Linked DNA regions of Elephas maximus indicus. The protein of the gene in region 1 purifies or fractionates together with the protein of each later gene. This does not show direct contact. Links are inferred from orthologs where the notes say so. Each region holds a gene or a part of one and is shown in the gene's direction. Other genes may lie near its edges.

The links.
Region 2: the proteins of ARCN1 (region 1) and COPE purify together in Homo sapiens (affinity purification with mass spectrometry; 4 studies listed by BioGRID and IntAct, with this or other methods). This does not show direct contact. The link is inferred for Elephas maximus indicus from reciprocal best matches to the Homo sapiens genes ARCN1 and COPE.

What each region holds. Positions count from the first base shown.
Region 1 is NC_064835.1:11,060,690-11,068,000, forward strand, and holds the start of ARCN1 (coatomer subunit delta), read left to right. Parts: upstream 1-4,251; 5' UTR 4,252-4,416; coding exon 4,417-4,419; intron 4,420-7,311. UniProt on the Homo sapiens protein: Component of the coatomer, a cytosolic protein complex that binds to dilysine motifs and reversibly associates with Golgi non-clathrin-coated vesicles, which further mediate biosynthetic protein transport from the ER, via the Golgi up to the trans Golgi network.
Region 2 is NC_064821.1:38,773,991-38,781,961, reverse strand, and holds the start of COPE (coatomer subunit epsilon), read left to right. Parts: upstream 1-4,941; 5' UTR 4,942-4,976; coding exon 4,977-5,102; intron 5,103-7,971. Other genes in the region: probable ATP-dependent RNA helicase DDX49, read right to left, coding at 101-224, 4,547-4,661. UniProt on the Homo sapiens protein: The coatomer is a cytosolic protein complex that binds to dilysine motifs and reversibly associates with Golgi non-clathrin-coated vesicles, which further mediate biosynthetic protein transport from the ER, via the Golgi up to the trans Golgi network.

The sequences.
Region 1 (7,311 bases):
AAACCTTCATCTAAAAAAAAAGAAAACAGACTAATAACCCAATGTAAAAAATGGGCAAAGAATATGAACAGACACTTCACCACAGAAGACATTCAGGTGAGTAACAGACACAGGAGGGAATGCTCGAGATCAGTAGCCATCAGAGAAATACAAATCAAAACTGAAATGAGATACTATCTCACCCCGACATTACTGGCACTAATTTAAAAAAAAAAAAAAACAGAAAATAACAAATGTTGGAGAGGTTTTGGGGAGACTTCAACTCTTACGCACTGCTAGTAGGAATGTAAAATGGTACAACCACTATGGAAAATGATAGGGCACCTCACTAAAAGGCTATAAATAGAGATACTGTATGATCCAGAAGTTCTACTCCTAGGAATATATCCTAGAGAAATAAGAGCTGTCACATGACTATGCACACCCATGTTCATTGCAGCATTTTCACAATAACAAACAGATGAAAACAACCTAAATGCCCATCAATGGATGAGTGAACAAATTATGGTACATACACACAATGGAGTACTACCCAATGATAAAGAACAATGATGAATCCTCGAAACATTTCATAACATGGATGAATCTGGAGGGCATTAAGCTGACTGAAATAAGTCAATCACAAAAGGACAAATATTGTAGAAGACCACTATTATAAAAACTCAAGAAAAGGTTTACGTGCAGAAAAAAACAAACAAAACAATCTTTGATGGTTCTGAGGGAGGGGAGAGGTGGGGAGGGAAAAACACTGACTAGATAATAGATAAGTGGTAACTTTGGGGAAGGGTAAAACAGTACGCAATACTGGGGAAGTCAGTACAACTTGACCAAGGCAAAGACATAGAAGCTTCACAGATACATCCAAACTCTCTGAGGGACCAAGTTACTGGGCTGAGGGTGGGGACCATAGTCTCAGGGGACATCTAGCTCAATTGGCATAACATAGTTTATAAAGAAAATGTTTACATCTGACTGTGGTGAGAAGTGTCTGGGGTCTTAAAAGACTGCAAGCGGCCATGAAAGATACATCTATTGGTTCCATCTTGGCTGGAGCAATGGAGAATGAAGAAAACTGAAGACACAGGGAAAGATTAGTACAAAGGACTAATGGACAACAACTACCATAACCTCCAGCAAACTAAGCCCAGAACTACTAGATGGTACCCAGCTACCACCACAGACTACTCTGACAGGGATCACAATAGAGTGTCCTGGATAGAGAAGGAGAAGAATGTAGAACAAAATTCAAATTCACAAAAAAGACCAGATTTGCTGGTCTGACAGAGACTGGCGAACCCCCTGAGACTATGGCCTCTGACACCTTTTTAACCCAGTACTGAAGTCACTCCTGAGGTTCACCTTTCAGCTCTGGTGGCATAGTGGTTAAGAGCTACTGCTGCTAACCAAAAGGTCAGCAGTTCGAATCCACCAGGTGCTCCTTGGAAACCCTATGGGGCAGTTCTACTCTGTCCTTAGGGTTACTAGGCGTTGGAATCGACTCAGTGACAACAGGTTTGGTTTATAGAGTAAACAATAACACATTCGAGGAAAGTGCTTCGTAGTACAATCACATTGTTGTTGTTAGGTGCCGCCCAGTCGGTTCCGACTCATAGCAACCCTATGCACAACAGAACGAAACACTGCCCGGTCCTGCGCCATCCTCAAAATCGTTGTTATGCTTGAGCTCGTTGTTGCAGCCACTGTGTCAATCCACCTCGTTGAGGGTCCTCCTCTTTTCTGCGGACCCTGTACTCTGCCAAGCATTGTGTCCTTCTTCAGGGACTGATCCCTCCTGACAACATGTCCAAAGTATGTAAAACGCAGTCTCGCCATCCTTGCTTCTAAGGAGCATTCTGGCCACACTTCTTTCAAGACAGATTTGTTCGTTCTTTTGGCAGTCCATGGTGTATTCAATACTCTTCGCCAACACCACAATTCAAAAGCGTCAACTCTTCTTCGGTCTTCCTTATTCGTTGTCCAGCTTTCACATGCATGTGATGCCATCGAAAATACCATGGCTTGGGTCAGGCGCACCTTAGTCTTCAGGGTGACATCTTTGCTCTTCAACACTTTGAAGAGGTCCTTTGCAGCAGATTTACCCAATGCAATGTGTCCTTTGATTTCTTGACTGCTGCTTCCATGGCTGCTGATTGTGGATCCAAGTAAAATGAAATCCTTGACAACTTCAATCTTTTCTCCATTTATCACGATGTTACTCATTGGCCCAGTTGTGAGGATTTTTGTTTTCTTTATGTTGAGGTGTAATCCATACTGAAGGCTGTGGTCTTTGATCTTCATTAGTAAGTGCTTCAGGTCCTCTTCACTTTCAGCAATCAAGGTTGTGTCACCTGCATAACGCAGGTTGTTAATGAGTCTTCCTCCAATCCTGATGCCCCGTTCTTCTTCATATAGTCCAGCTTCTCGTATTATTTGTTCAGCACACAGATTAAATAGGTGTGGTGAAAGAATACAACCCTGACGCACACCTTTCCTGACTTTAAACCGATCAGTATCCTCTTGTTCTGTTCAATCACATGTACCAGACTAAATGCGCACACCAGCCCAAAAACAAAGACAGAGGGCAGGAAGGGACCGGAAAATTGGATGAATGGAAATGGGGAACCCAGGATGGAGAAGCGGAGAGTGTTGGTACATCTTGGGGTTGGCCACCAATGTCACAAAACAAATGAGAAATTAATTCGCTCTATAAACTTTCACCTAAAGCACACGCACACACACAAGAAAAACCTCACCATTTTAAAGCGTACAATTCAATGATTTTTAGTATATTTGGCAAGGTTGTGCAGCCGCCATCTGTTACCTAATTCTGGGACATTTTCATTCAAATCTTGTACCCATCAGCATTAATTCCCAGTCTCCACCCCCATCTCACCTCACTCCCACCTCTTGCAACCACTAATCTACTTTCTGTCTCTATGAATTTGTTTATTCTGGACATGTCATACAAATGGAATCATACAATAAGTGGCTATTTTGTGCCTGGCTTTTTTTACTCAGTATATTTCCAAAGTTCAGCCATGCTGTAGCATGTATCAGTACTTCATACCTTTTTGCGGCTGAATAATATTCCATTGTATGGATATGTCACTTTTTTTACCCAATTATCAGTTAATGGACATTTGGGGTTTTCCACTTTTGGGCTATATGATGCCATGAACATTAGTGTACAAATTTTTGTGTGGACATATGATGGAATTGCTGGATCACATGGTAACTCTGTTTAACTTTTTGAGGACCTGTTTTCCAAAGCAGCTACCCTATTTTATATTCCAACTAGCAATGTGTGGTGGTGTTGTTGTTAGGTGCTGTGGGGTTGATTCGAACTCAGACTGACCCTACATACAAGAGAAGGAAACACTGCCCAGTCCTGCTCCACCCTCACAATTGTTGCTATGTTTGAGTCCATTGTTGTAGCCACTGTGTCACTCCATATCATTCAGCACTGACCCTCTACTTTACCATACGGTCACTATGAGTCAGAATCAACTCGATGGCAATGGGTTTTGGTTTATTTTACCAAGCATGATGTCCTTCTCCAGGGACTGGTCCCTCCTGATAACATGTCCAAAGTACGTGAGACAAAGTCTTGCCATCTTTGCTCCTAAGGAGCATTCTGGCTGTACTTCTTCCAAGACAGATTTGTTTGTTCTTCTGGCAATCCATGGTACATTCAATATTCTTTGCCTACATAATAATTCAAAGCCATCATTGTAGGAGGATTTTAATTTCTCCATATCCTCCACAACACTTGCTATTGTCCATCTTTCTTAATGTAACCATTCTAGTAGGGGTGAAGTCATAGCTAGTTGTGGTTTTGATGTACATTTCACTAATGACTATAGATATGGAGCACCTTTTCATGTGCTTATTGGCCATTTGTATCTCTTCTTTGAAGAAATGTCTCTTCAAACCTTTTGCCCATTTTTAAATTGTGTTGTCTTTTTATTGTTGAGTTATAAGAATTCTTTATATATTTTGGATACTAGCGCCTTGTGCACATGGGTTATTTTGAATATTAAATTATATAGTGTCTATGAGAGCGGCTTTATAAAATGTTTCAGAGGTGACTCAAACTGAGGCGATAACAAACAGTGAAAAGACAGATGTATGCAAGTTCCACGTCTGCAGGCGAGCCGGGACGTAACCTGCGCGTGGGGCTTGCAGCCGGGTATCCTCAATTTCCCCACCCCACCAAGCCCCGCCCTCCGTCCTTTGACCCGCGCCGTTTCCGGTTGGAGACGTGGCTCGGGACCGCCATCTTGGCAAGAAGCGAAGCGGCGGCGGCTCCTGTCAGGGGGGCGGCAGGTCCGGAGCGGCCGGTGCTCCCCTTCCCCTAACCCCAGCCCTCTGCCCAGTGCAGCCGGAGCGTGGGTGCGCCCCACCACCGCCGTCACCATGGTAAGACCCAAGCCGGGCTCGAACTCTCGGGGTCTGGGCCTCACTCGCCCCCTCTCACTGCCGGCCGGGCTGGTACGGGGACCAGAGGAGCCGCGCCCCTAGGGCCTCGAGCCAGGCGCCCTCCTCGGGCTCGGGCAGCGGTGTGGCCTACCCCCGCTCTTGGCCTCCGGGAGGCCCGAGGGAGTTGACGCCAGTCCCTCTGTGGTCGCACCCTCCCCACACCCCAACCGGCTGGACTCTTCTCTAGACCCGGCAGCTCGGACGGGGCAGGGTCTTGGCTCTGCGAGGACCTTGTCGTCGATGTCCTCTGGGCTCTGCGCTGCGGACTTCGGCGCTACTGCCGGGTCGCTTCCGTGGACGCTTCGGCTCAGCAGCATAGGCCTCTCCTGAGGGGGCTTCTCTTCCTTCTGTGTTCAGCTTGTCTCTCATCCCTGGTGTTTGATAGGCCATTGATGTAGAAATACAAATGGGTTGGTGTTCAGGACTTTGGTTTGTCCGATTGGGGGAAATGGCATAGACCGGGGAGGAGTAACTTCTAACACTAATTTGTAGGATCCTGTGAGTCGGAATCGACTCGACGGCACTGGGTTGGGTTTGGTTTTTGGTTAGGGCTCCTGAAAACTTCGACCACTTTTATAGAACCTGCTTGTATCCATTTGTCTTTGTGACTGAGCGTACGCTGGGGAAATGTCAGTCAGTTACCGGAAGACAGGATTTCTGTCTTCAAGGCATTTATTGTTCAGGTGAAGAAAATATGTACGTGGCTTATGATTGATTAGATGTCTCACAGGACAAGGGGTAAAGGGCTGGGTGGGCCTTACGCTGAGACCTGTTACATAGCCTTTAGTTGCATTATCTTTGTGCTCTCATCCATTGTAGAGATGGAAAAAATTAATGCAGGTGAGAATAGGACAAAACACGACAATGTTGATTCCACTGAATCTTGCTTTATCACTACTGATTTGTGGACATTGATGAAGTAGAAGAAATTAGTCTGTTCCAAACAAGCTACTGAAGAATTTTTTAGGGCACCTTATGCCTTTCAGTCTTTTAAAGGGCGTTCTTTTTTTTTTTTTTTTAATTCTTTTTTTGCCAATAGATTAATAATTTGCTTTAAAGCATCTTCCTAACTCCTTGAGGATGGCAGTATAATTTGGTGCTATTCATAGTAAGTGCTATCAACAATTTTTTAGGTGAAAACCTGGGTGGTGTTGGGATTCATGCTTGGGTTTTAAACCACTGAAAGGTTTGATTCATAGAACTTTTGTGTTACACACAAAATATCCAAAAACTTTTTTTTTTTTTTTTTCAATTCTACTAGGAGGCTTAGTATCCAGACAGTGATTTTTAAACTCCTTTTCCTTTTACGCACTGGAAGTATTTGTAGTGCGTTTTAGAGCATATACTTTTAATAGCAAAGTTAAAGCCTTGTATTATATAAATCAAATATAGATAATCTGTATAAAAACCTTGCTTGTTAAAAGGTCATTGGAACTTAGTAGTTTTAATTCACCAATAACTGAGGAATGGTAAAGCCGTAGGTATTGAGCATACAATTTTGTACAGATTTTGTAAAAATACATTTTGTATACTCAATAAAGTATACATTTTATATGTTATTTTGACATATGTGTACATACATACAGTTGTGACCTGTTTAAATATTCATATATTTCTGAATTATTTGGGAATTGGCATGATTCAGATACCCACATATTTGTATATTCGGGAGAACAACTTAATCTCAGTCCATTCTGCTCTGTAGAGTCCTAAGACATTGGCATTATTTCTGTGCAGTGTCTTTGAATCCTCCTCCTTTATGACAGTAAAAATATCCAAATAGGGTAAAATTTTGTCCTTGTATTGTTAGGACTTCTTTGAACTAAAAGTTCTATCAAAACTTCTAAAAGTTGATTTTTTTTTCCTCAACATTTTATTATAAAATTTTCAAACATAAGAAAAGTTGAAAGGGCTTTACAGTGAACACCCATATGTCTGCCAGCTAGATTCTATAACCAGCATTTTACCCTCCTTGTTTTATCACACATTTAATCATCCCTCCATGCATCTTTTTTTCTGCATTTCAAAGTAAGGTGCAGATATCTGCACATAAAAGTTGGTTTTGAAAAATAAGTGTTTCTTTTGGCTTTAGTTGGAGCCTTGGTTAAGAGCTCAGCTGCTAACCAAAAAGCCAGCAGTTCAAGTCCACCAGCTCCTCCTTGGAAATTCTGCTCCAGTCGACTCAGCGGCAGTGGGTTTGGTTTGGTTTTTGGTTTGGGCCTTAGTTACTGAAGTATATGCAGAATGCCCTAGACTACACAGTCTGAGTATATAGGTGAACAAATGCAAAAGCAGGTGGCTTATGATGGCTGTTAGAAAATGAAATAATGGGATCTTTTGATTGGATCTTTTTTCTAGTTTTTTGCAAATTAGTGAGAAAATATTCTTAACATTAGATAATGTTATAATCAGTTCTTTTTCTTAATAAACTTACATTTGAACGCATAAAGTTGTTATTTAAGTCTTTAATGGTAGCAAGCCATCTGTGAAATCTTTGCTTATCTACAGAGTGTTGTTCTTTTCTTATTTGCTCAGAATAGGCAGTGAGTAAACTTACTAGTAAACTTACTCATTAGGACCCTAGTGTTCCTAAAACCACTTATGGTGGTGGTTGCATTAAATAGAAATGATAGTAGATTCAGTTCCAAAAAGTCATTAGTTATTGGAAAGCTAGATTTGGGCCTTGCATAGCTAATCTAACGGTGCCCTGGTGGTGTAATGGTTAAGCACTTGGCTGCTAACCAAAAGGTGGGCAGTTGAAACCCACCAACGGCTGCGAGAGAAAATCCTGGCTATCTGCTCCTGTCAAGATTACAGCCAATCAGCCTGGTG
Region 2 (7,971 bases), on another chromosome or scaffold:
CCGTTTGTCCCCATTTCACACATGGGAAAGTGTGGCTCAGAGACGTATAGGCACTTGCCCAGGTGAATATGGCTGGTTAACTCACACTCAGGGGGCTCACCTGGTGGGTGTCAGAACAAGGCAGAAGATGCCATAGGGATCCTCAGATAGCTTCTGCAAGATCGGCAGGACGAACGCCGCTGTCTTGCCGCTGCCAGTCTTGGCACAGCCCAGGCAGTCCCGACCTGGCAGAGGACAGAGCAGCATCAACACCTCCAGAGGGAGAACAAAGGTTCCATCGGGCACAGTTCACAACAGCTCAGGCTGAATGGAAGTCCCTGGGTGGTGCAAAAGATGAACGCTTTCGGCTGCTAACCGAAATGTCGGCAGTCTGAGTCTACCCAGAGGCACCTCAGAAAAAAGTCCTGGTGATCTACCTCCGAAAAATCAGCCACTGAAAATTCTACAAAGCTCAGATCTACTCTGACATACAGGTGGTCGCCATGACTCAGGGCCAACTCCAAAGCAATTTTCTTTTACTGAAACATTTAACAAGCAACACCTGGTCTATGCCTTTACATCTGAGCCCTAACGACAATAAACCTACAACAGAAACACCATTACCATCCTCACTTAACAAAAGGGGAAACTGAGTCTTGGAGACTTGCCCGGGACATGCAGCTGGTGACTAGCAGGGCTGGACTGGAAGCCACATCCACCTGACCCGAGACGCCATGCTGCTCACCACCACCTTATACTGGTTCCCTCCCAGACCTGGGATTCCCTCCTCTAATCTGCATTCTTCCCCACGTGTCTGTCAGTTCGTCATAGTGTGGGGGCTTGCGTGTTGCCGTGATGCTGGAAGCTGTGCCACAAGTATTCAGACACCAGCAGGGTCACCCATGGTGGACAGGTTTCAGCTGAGCTTACAGACTAAAACAGACAAGGCAGAAGGACCTGGCGGTCTACTTCTGGAAAGAATTAGCCAGTGAAAAACCTTACGAATAGCAGCGGAACACTGTCTGATAATAGTGCCGGAAGATGAGCCCCTCAGGTTGGAAGGCATTCAAAAGATGACTGGGGAAGAGCTGCCTCCTCAAAGTAGAGTTGACCTTAATTACAGGCATGGAGTCAAGCTTTCAGGACTTTCATTTGCTGATGTGATAATATCCTAGTTGTTAGCGAGCTGAAATGGACTGGTATTGGCCATTTTCAATCAAACAATCATACAGTCTAATATGCCGGGAATGACAAGTTGAAGAGAAATGGCATTGCGTTCATCGTCAAAAAGAACACTGCGAGATCTATCCCGAAATACAACACTGATAGGATAACATCCATACGCCTACAAGGAAAACCAGTTAATACGACTGTTTTTCAAATTTACGTACCAACCACTAAGGCCAAAGATGAAGAAACTGAAGATTTTTACCAGCTTCTGCAGTCTGATATTGATTGAACGTGCCATCAGGATGTACCGATAATCACTGCTGATTGGAACGCAAAAGTTGGGAACAAAGAAGAATGATCAGTAGTTGGAAAATATGGCCTTGGTGACAGAAACGATGCTGGAGATCGCATGACAGAATCTTCCAAGATTAATGACTTTCTCATTGCAAATACCTTTTCTCAACAATATAAATGGCAACTATACACGCGGACCTCGTCACATAGAATACACAAGAATCAAACTGACTACATGTGTGGAAAGAGAAGATGGAAAAGCTCAATGTCATCAGTCAGGACAAGGCCATGGGCTGACTGCAGGACAAACCATCATCAATCGCTCATATGCAGGTTCAAGCTGAAACTGAAGAAAATTAGAACAAGTCCACGAGAGCCAAATTATGATCTTGAGTATGCCACACCTGAATTAAGAGATCACCTCAAGAACAGCTTTGATGCATTGAACACTAATGACTAAACACAAGAGGAGTAGTGGAATGACATCAAGGACATCATACATGAAGAAAGCAAGAGGACACTGAAAGATTAGAAAGAAAGGAAAGATTAAAATGGATGTAAGAAGAGGCTCTGCAACTTGTTCTTGACTTTGAGTAGCTAAAGCAAAAGGGAAAATGATAAAATAAAAAAACTGAACAGAAGATTTCAAAGGGCAACTCAAGAAAACAAAGTACTACAATGACATGTGCAAAGACCTAGAGGTAGAAAACCAAAATGGAAGAACACATCTGGCATTTCTCAAAGCTGAAAGAACTGAAGAAAAAATTCAAACCTCAATTTGCAATATTGAAGGATTCTACGGGGAAAATATTAAACGATGCAGTAAGTATCAAAACAAGATGGAAAGAATATACAGAGTCACTATACCAAAAAGAACTGATCTATGTTCAACCGTTTCAGGAGGCAGCATGTGATCAGGAACCGACGGTACTGAAGGAAGAAGTCCAAGGTGCTCTGAAGGCATTGGCGAAAAAACAAGGCTCCAGGTATTGAAGGAACACCAATTGAGATGTTTCAACAAATAGATGCAGTGCTAGAAGTGCTTACTCATCCATGCCAACAAATTTGAAAGACAGGTACCTGGTCAATAGACTGGAAGAGATCTGTATTTATGCCTATTCCCAAGAAAGGTGATCCAATCAAATGTGGAAATTATTGAAAAACATCATTAATATCACATTCAAGTAAAATTTTGCTGAAGATAATTTAAAAGCGGCTGCAGCAGTATATCAAAAGGGAACTGCCAGAAATTCAAGCCAGATTCAAAAGAGGACATCAAATGAAGGATATCGTTGCTGATGTCAGGTGGATCCTGGATGAAAGCAGAGAATACCGAAAAATATTTACCTGTGTTTTACTGATTATGCAAAGGCATTCCACTGTGTGGATCATAACAAACTATGGATAACACTGCAAAGAATGGGAATTCCAGGACACTTAATTGTGCTCACGAGGAACCTGTACATAGATCAAGAAGCAGTCACTCGAACAGAACAAGGGGATCCTGGGTAATTTAAAGTCAGGAAAAGTGTACGTTAGGGTCGTATCCTTTCACTATGCTTATTCAATCTGTCTGCTGGGCAAACAATCCAAGAAGCTGGGTTATATGAAGAATGGGGCGTGAGGATTGGAAGAATAGTCATTCACAGCCTCTGATGTGCAAAGGACATAACCTTGCTTGCTGACAGTGAAGAGAACTTGAAGCACTTACCGATGAAGGTCAAAGACCACAACCTTCAGTATGGATTACACCTCAACATAAAGAGAAAAAAAATCCTCCCAACTAAACACGAAACAATAAATGTTGGAGAGGCTGTGGAGAGACTAGAACACTTATACACTGCTAGTGAGAATCTAAATTGCTACAACCACTTTGGAAATCGATTTGGCGCTTCCTTAAAAAGCTAGAAATAGAACTACCATACGATCCAGCAATCCCACTTGGATTATATCCCACTTGGAATATATCCTAGAGAAATAAAAGCCTTCACACAAACAAATACATGCACACCCATGTTCACTGCAGCGCTGTTTACAATAGCAAAAAGATGGAAACAACCAAGGTGCCCATCAACGGATGAATAGATAAATTATGGTATATCCACACAACAGAGTACTACACGTTGATAAAGAACAGTGATGAATCTGTGAAACATTTCATAACATGGAGGAACCTGGAAGGCATTATGCTGAGTGAAATTAGTCAGTTGCAAAAGGACAAGTATTGTATAAGACCACTATTGTAAGAACTCAAGAAATAGTTTAAACAGAGAAGAAAATATTCTTTGATGATTATGAGAAGGGGGAGGGAAGAAAAGGGGTATTCACTAATTAGACAGTAGATAAAAACTTCTTTAGGTGACGGGAAAGACAACATATAATACAGGCGAGGTCAGCACAACTGGACTAAACGAAAAGCAAAGAAGTTTCCAGAATGAGCTGAATGCTTCGAAGGCCAGCGTAGCAGGGGCGGGGGTTTGGGGACCATGGTTTCAGGGGACATCTAAGTCAACTGGCATAATAAAATCTATTAAGAAAACATTCTGCATCCCACCTTGGAGAGAGGCATCTGGGGTCTTAAATGCTAGCAAGCGGCCATCCAAGATACATCAATTGGTCTCAACCCACCTGGATCAAAGGAGAATGAAGAACACCAAGGACGCAAAGTAATTACGAACCTAAGAGACAGAAAGGGCCACATAAACCAGAGACTACATCAGCCTGAGACCAGAAGAGCTAGATGGTGCCTGGCTACAACCGATGACTGCCCTGACAGGGAACACAACAGAGAACCCCTGAGGGAGGAGGAGAGTAGTGGGATGCAGACCCCAAATACTTGTAAAAAGACCAGACTTAATGGTCAACCTTCCCTGTGCTCTGAGACTATGCAACTTTAGAGGTTACGTCACGTCTCTGCGGACGCAAGGTCCGCCACGCGGTCTGAAAGCCAACACCGCCCTGTCCACCTCCGAAGCCCAGACTCGCCCGGAACGCCCAAGACTGCGCCTCACCTCGCGGAACCAGCGTGGACAAAGGCCGCGAGAAGGGAAGAGAGGGGGAGAAAAGCGGAGACACCTCCTGGGAAAGCGGCCGGCACACTCACCCTCCAGGATGGCGGGGATGCAGCCGAGCTGCACGGGCGTAGGCTGCTTCAGACCCAACTGCCGACATTGTTCCACTAGCCACGATGACAGCCCGAGCTCCGCGAAACACGGCATCCTCTTCCCCAGTCGCGGGGTGGTAATGAGCCGCGTTTCCGGTGCGCGCCGATGACGTCACGAAAGCCTTTTCGTTCATAGTGACTAGCCCCCTCCGCCAATCCCCCCCTTCGTCCGCTGCCTCATGCGTTCCCCAAGATGCAGTGCGGGACAGGCTTGCACTCCGCCCCCTGACTCGTATCTATGAGCTTCCCATTGGTTCATCTCCCTGTCACCTGGAGCAAGTAAACTACATTTCCCGGCATGCTCCGCGGCGGTCCCTGATTTCGGCCGACGTGTCCCTCCGGAAAGGGAAGTGGGTGAGACGACAGCAACATGGCGCCTCCGGCCCCCGGTCCGGTCACTGGCGGCTCCGGGGAAGTGGACGAGCTGTTCGACGTGAAGAACGCCTTCTACATCGGCAGCTACCAGCAGTGCATCAACGAGGCGCAGCGGGTGAAGGTGCGGCTGTGCCGAGGCTGGGGGACTCTGGGGGCGGAGGTGCCGGCAGCTTCTTGTGGTCACAGTCAGCTGCTAAATACTCTCCCTTTTCTCGCAGCATATTCCCTGCGCTCACCTCTTAAGAGCGCGGCAAGGAATTAACATTGTCTTATTCCAAAGTCTAAATCTGTAACAGCTTTGTTTATAAAGGGCTCGCTCTGCGCCCGGGAATGTATTCGAGTGAGGGAGGTAGTTATTCCACTTTATAATAATATGATGATGATGATAAGTCCCACTTGTCGAGCGCACACTGTGCCCGCCGTACTCTCCGTCCCCGTGAAGAGGGGACTGCTCTTTATCTTTATTTCGCAGACAAGCACTTCAAGGCTCGGAGAGAGGGTCGCTTCCCCAAATAATTACTTTGCCTGCTAGCTCAGTTGTTTCTGCCAAAACTCATTCATTCATTCAATAAAGTACTCATTGTACTTATTGAGGATTAGAACGGGCCATGGAATGTGTTCTTGCAGTACTCGGGACAATAACCCAAATAGACAAAGATCCCAGCTCTCTTGGAAATCTCAGCCTAGCAGAAAAGACAGACGGAAAAGAAGAAACACGAAGTGAGGAAGTGGCAAGAGAGTGGTGTGAAGGAGAGTGGTGGGCGTGAGCTTGGATATTTATTATTGTTACCCAGTCGGCCCTGGCTCTGTGTATAACAGAATGAAATGTTGCCCTGCCCTGCACCATCTTCGTGGTCTGTAGTGTGCTGGAGTGCATTGTTGCAGCCACTGTGCATTTTGAATGCCTTCCAACCCAGATGGCTCATCTTCCAGCACTGTATCAGACAGTGGTTTATTGTAATCCATAGAGTTTTCATTGGCTGGTTTTCAGAACCAAGGGGTTCTTCCTGGCCTTCCTTATTCTGGAAGCTCCACTGAACCATTCCACCCTGCTGATACTTGAAATACCAGTAGCATAGCTTCCAGCATCACAACAACACATAAGCCACCACAGTAGGACACACTGACACACGGGTGGTGGTTGGCTGTTTAAGAGCTAGAAAATCATTCAGCATGGCAAGACCCAGCGAGTGAAGCAGGTAAAAGGAGAGGAGCGGCAGGGCCTTTTAGGAAGGTGTGTAGACTTCGCTGTGATTTTGAGGGCAAGCCTTTAAAGCAGAGTGAACATGGCAGTGGCCTTGCCCCACCTTCACTGTCTCAGGTCCCAAAAATGGTGAGTGAAGAAGGTTTGGATACATAATTACGGCCTGTGATTAGTGCTATTTGTAGTCCTGTTGCTGAAAATCTTCAATTTCTTCGTCTGTGGCCTTAGTGGTTGCTGTGTAAGTTTGAAGAATAGTTGTATTAACTGGTCTTTCCTGTAGATTTATGGGTGTTATCCTATCAATGATAGTGCTGTACCTCAGGGTAGATCTTGAGATGTTCTTTTTGACAATGAATGTGATGCCATTTCTCTTCAAGCTGTCATTCCGGCATGTCGTTGTTGTTGTTAGGTGCCGTCGAGTCGGTTCCAACTCAATAGCGACCCTATGCACCACAGAACGAGACACTGCCGGTTTATGTCGTTGTTATGCTTGAGCTCATTGTTGCAGCCACTGTGTCAGTCCACCTCATTGAGGGTCTTCCTCTTTTACGTTGACCCTGTACTTTGCCAGCCATGATGTCCTTCTCCAGGGACTGATCCCTCTTGACAACGTATCTAAAATGTGTAAGGCGCAGTCTTGCCATCCTTGCTTCTAATGTGCATCCTGGTTGCACTTCTTCCAATACAGATTTGTTCGTTCTTTTGGCAGTCTGGCATAGTAGACCATAATTGTCTGATTCAAAACGGCCATACGTGTTTCTGTTTCTTTCTTTTTTTTTTTTTTTGAGCTTTAGGTGGAGGTTTACAGAACAAACTAGCTACTGTTAAACAGTGTACATATTGTTTTACGATATTGCTTAATAACTCCACAACCCGTCAATACTCCCTTTTCGACCTTGGGTTCCCTATTACCAGCTTTCCTGTCTCTTCCTGCCTTCTAGTCCTTGCCCCTGGGCTGGTGTGCCTCTTTGTTTTGTTTTATGGGCCTGTCTAATCTTTGGCTGAAGGGTGAACCTGAACAGTGACTTCATTACTTGTCCAGGGGCCATATCCTCAGGGTTTCTCCAGTCTTTGTCAGACCAGTAAGTCTGGGTTTTTTTTGTGTGAGTTAGAATTTTCTACTTTTTTCTCCGGCTCTGTCCGAGACCCTCTATTGTGATCCCTGCCAGAGCAGTCGGTGGTGGTAGCCAGGTACCATCTAGTTGTACTAGATTCAGTCTGGTGGAAGCCACGGTAGCTGTGATCCATTAGTCCCATTTCTTTTTGATGACTTCCAAGTTTTCTAGATTCATACTTTGTACATTCCATGTCTCGATTGTTAATGGATGTTTGTAGCTGTTTTTTCTCATTTTGAGAGAGGTCCTGTTTCCCGTGGGAGTGGTCCTGTCTCCCCAGGCCTTCTGGACAGTATGGTCAGAACCTGAGACTGACCCTTTTTTTTTTTTTTTTTAATTTTTATTGTGCTTTAAGTGAAAGTTTATAAATCAAGTCAGTCTCTCATACAAAAATTCATATATGCCATGTTATATACTCCTAACTGCTCTCCCCCTGATGAGGCAGCACACTCCTTCCCTCTGCTCTCTCTTTTTGTGTCCATTCTGCCAGCTTTTGACCCCCTCTGCCCTCTCATCCCGCCTCCAGACAGGGATGCCATAGTCCCATATGTCTACTTGATCCAAGAAGCTCATTCTTCACCAGCATCATTTTCTATCCTGCTGTCCAGTCCAATCCCTGTCTGAAGAGTTGGCTTTGGGGATGGTTCCTGCCCTGGGCTAACAGAAGGCCT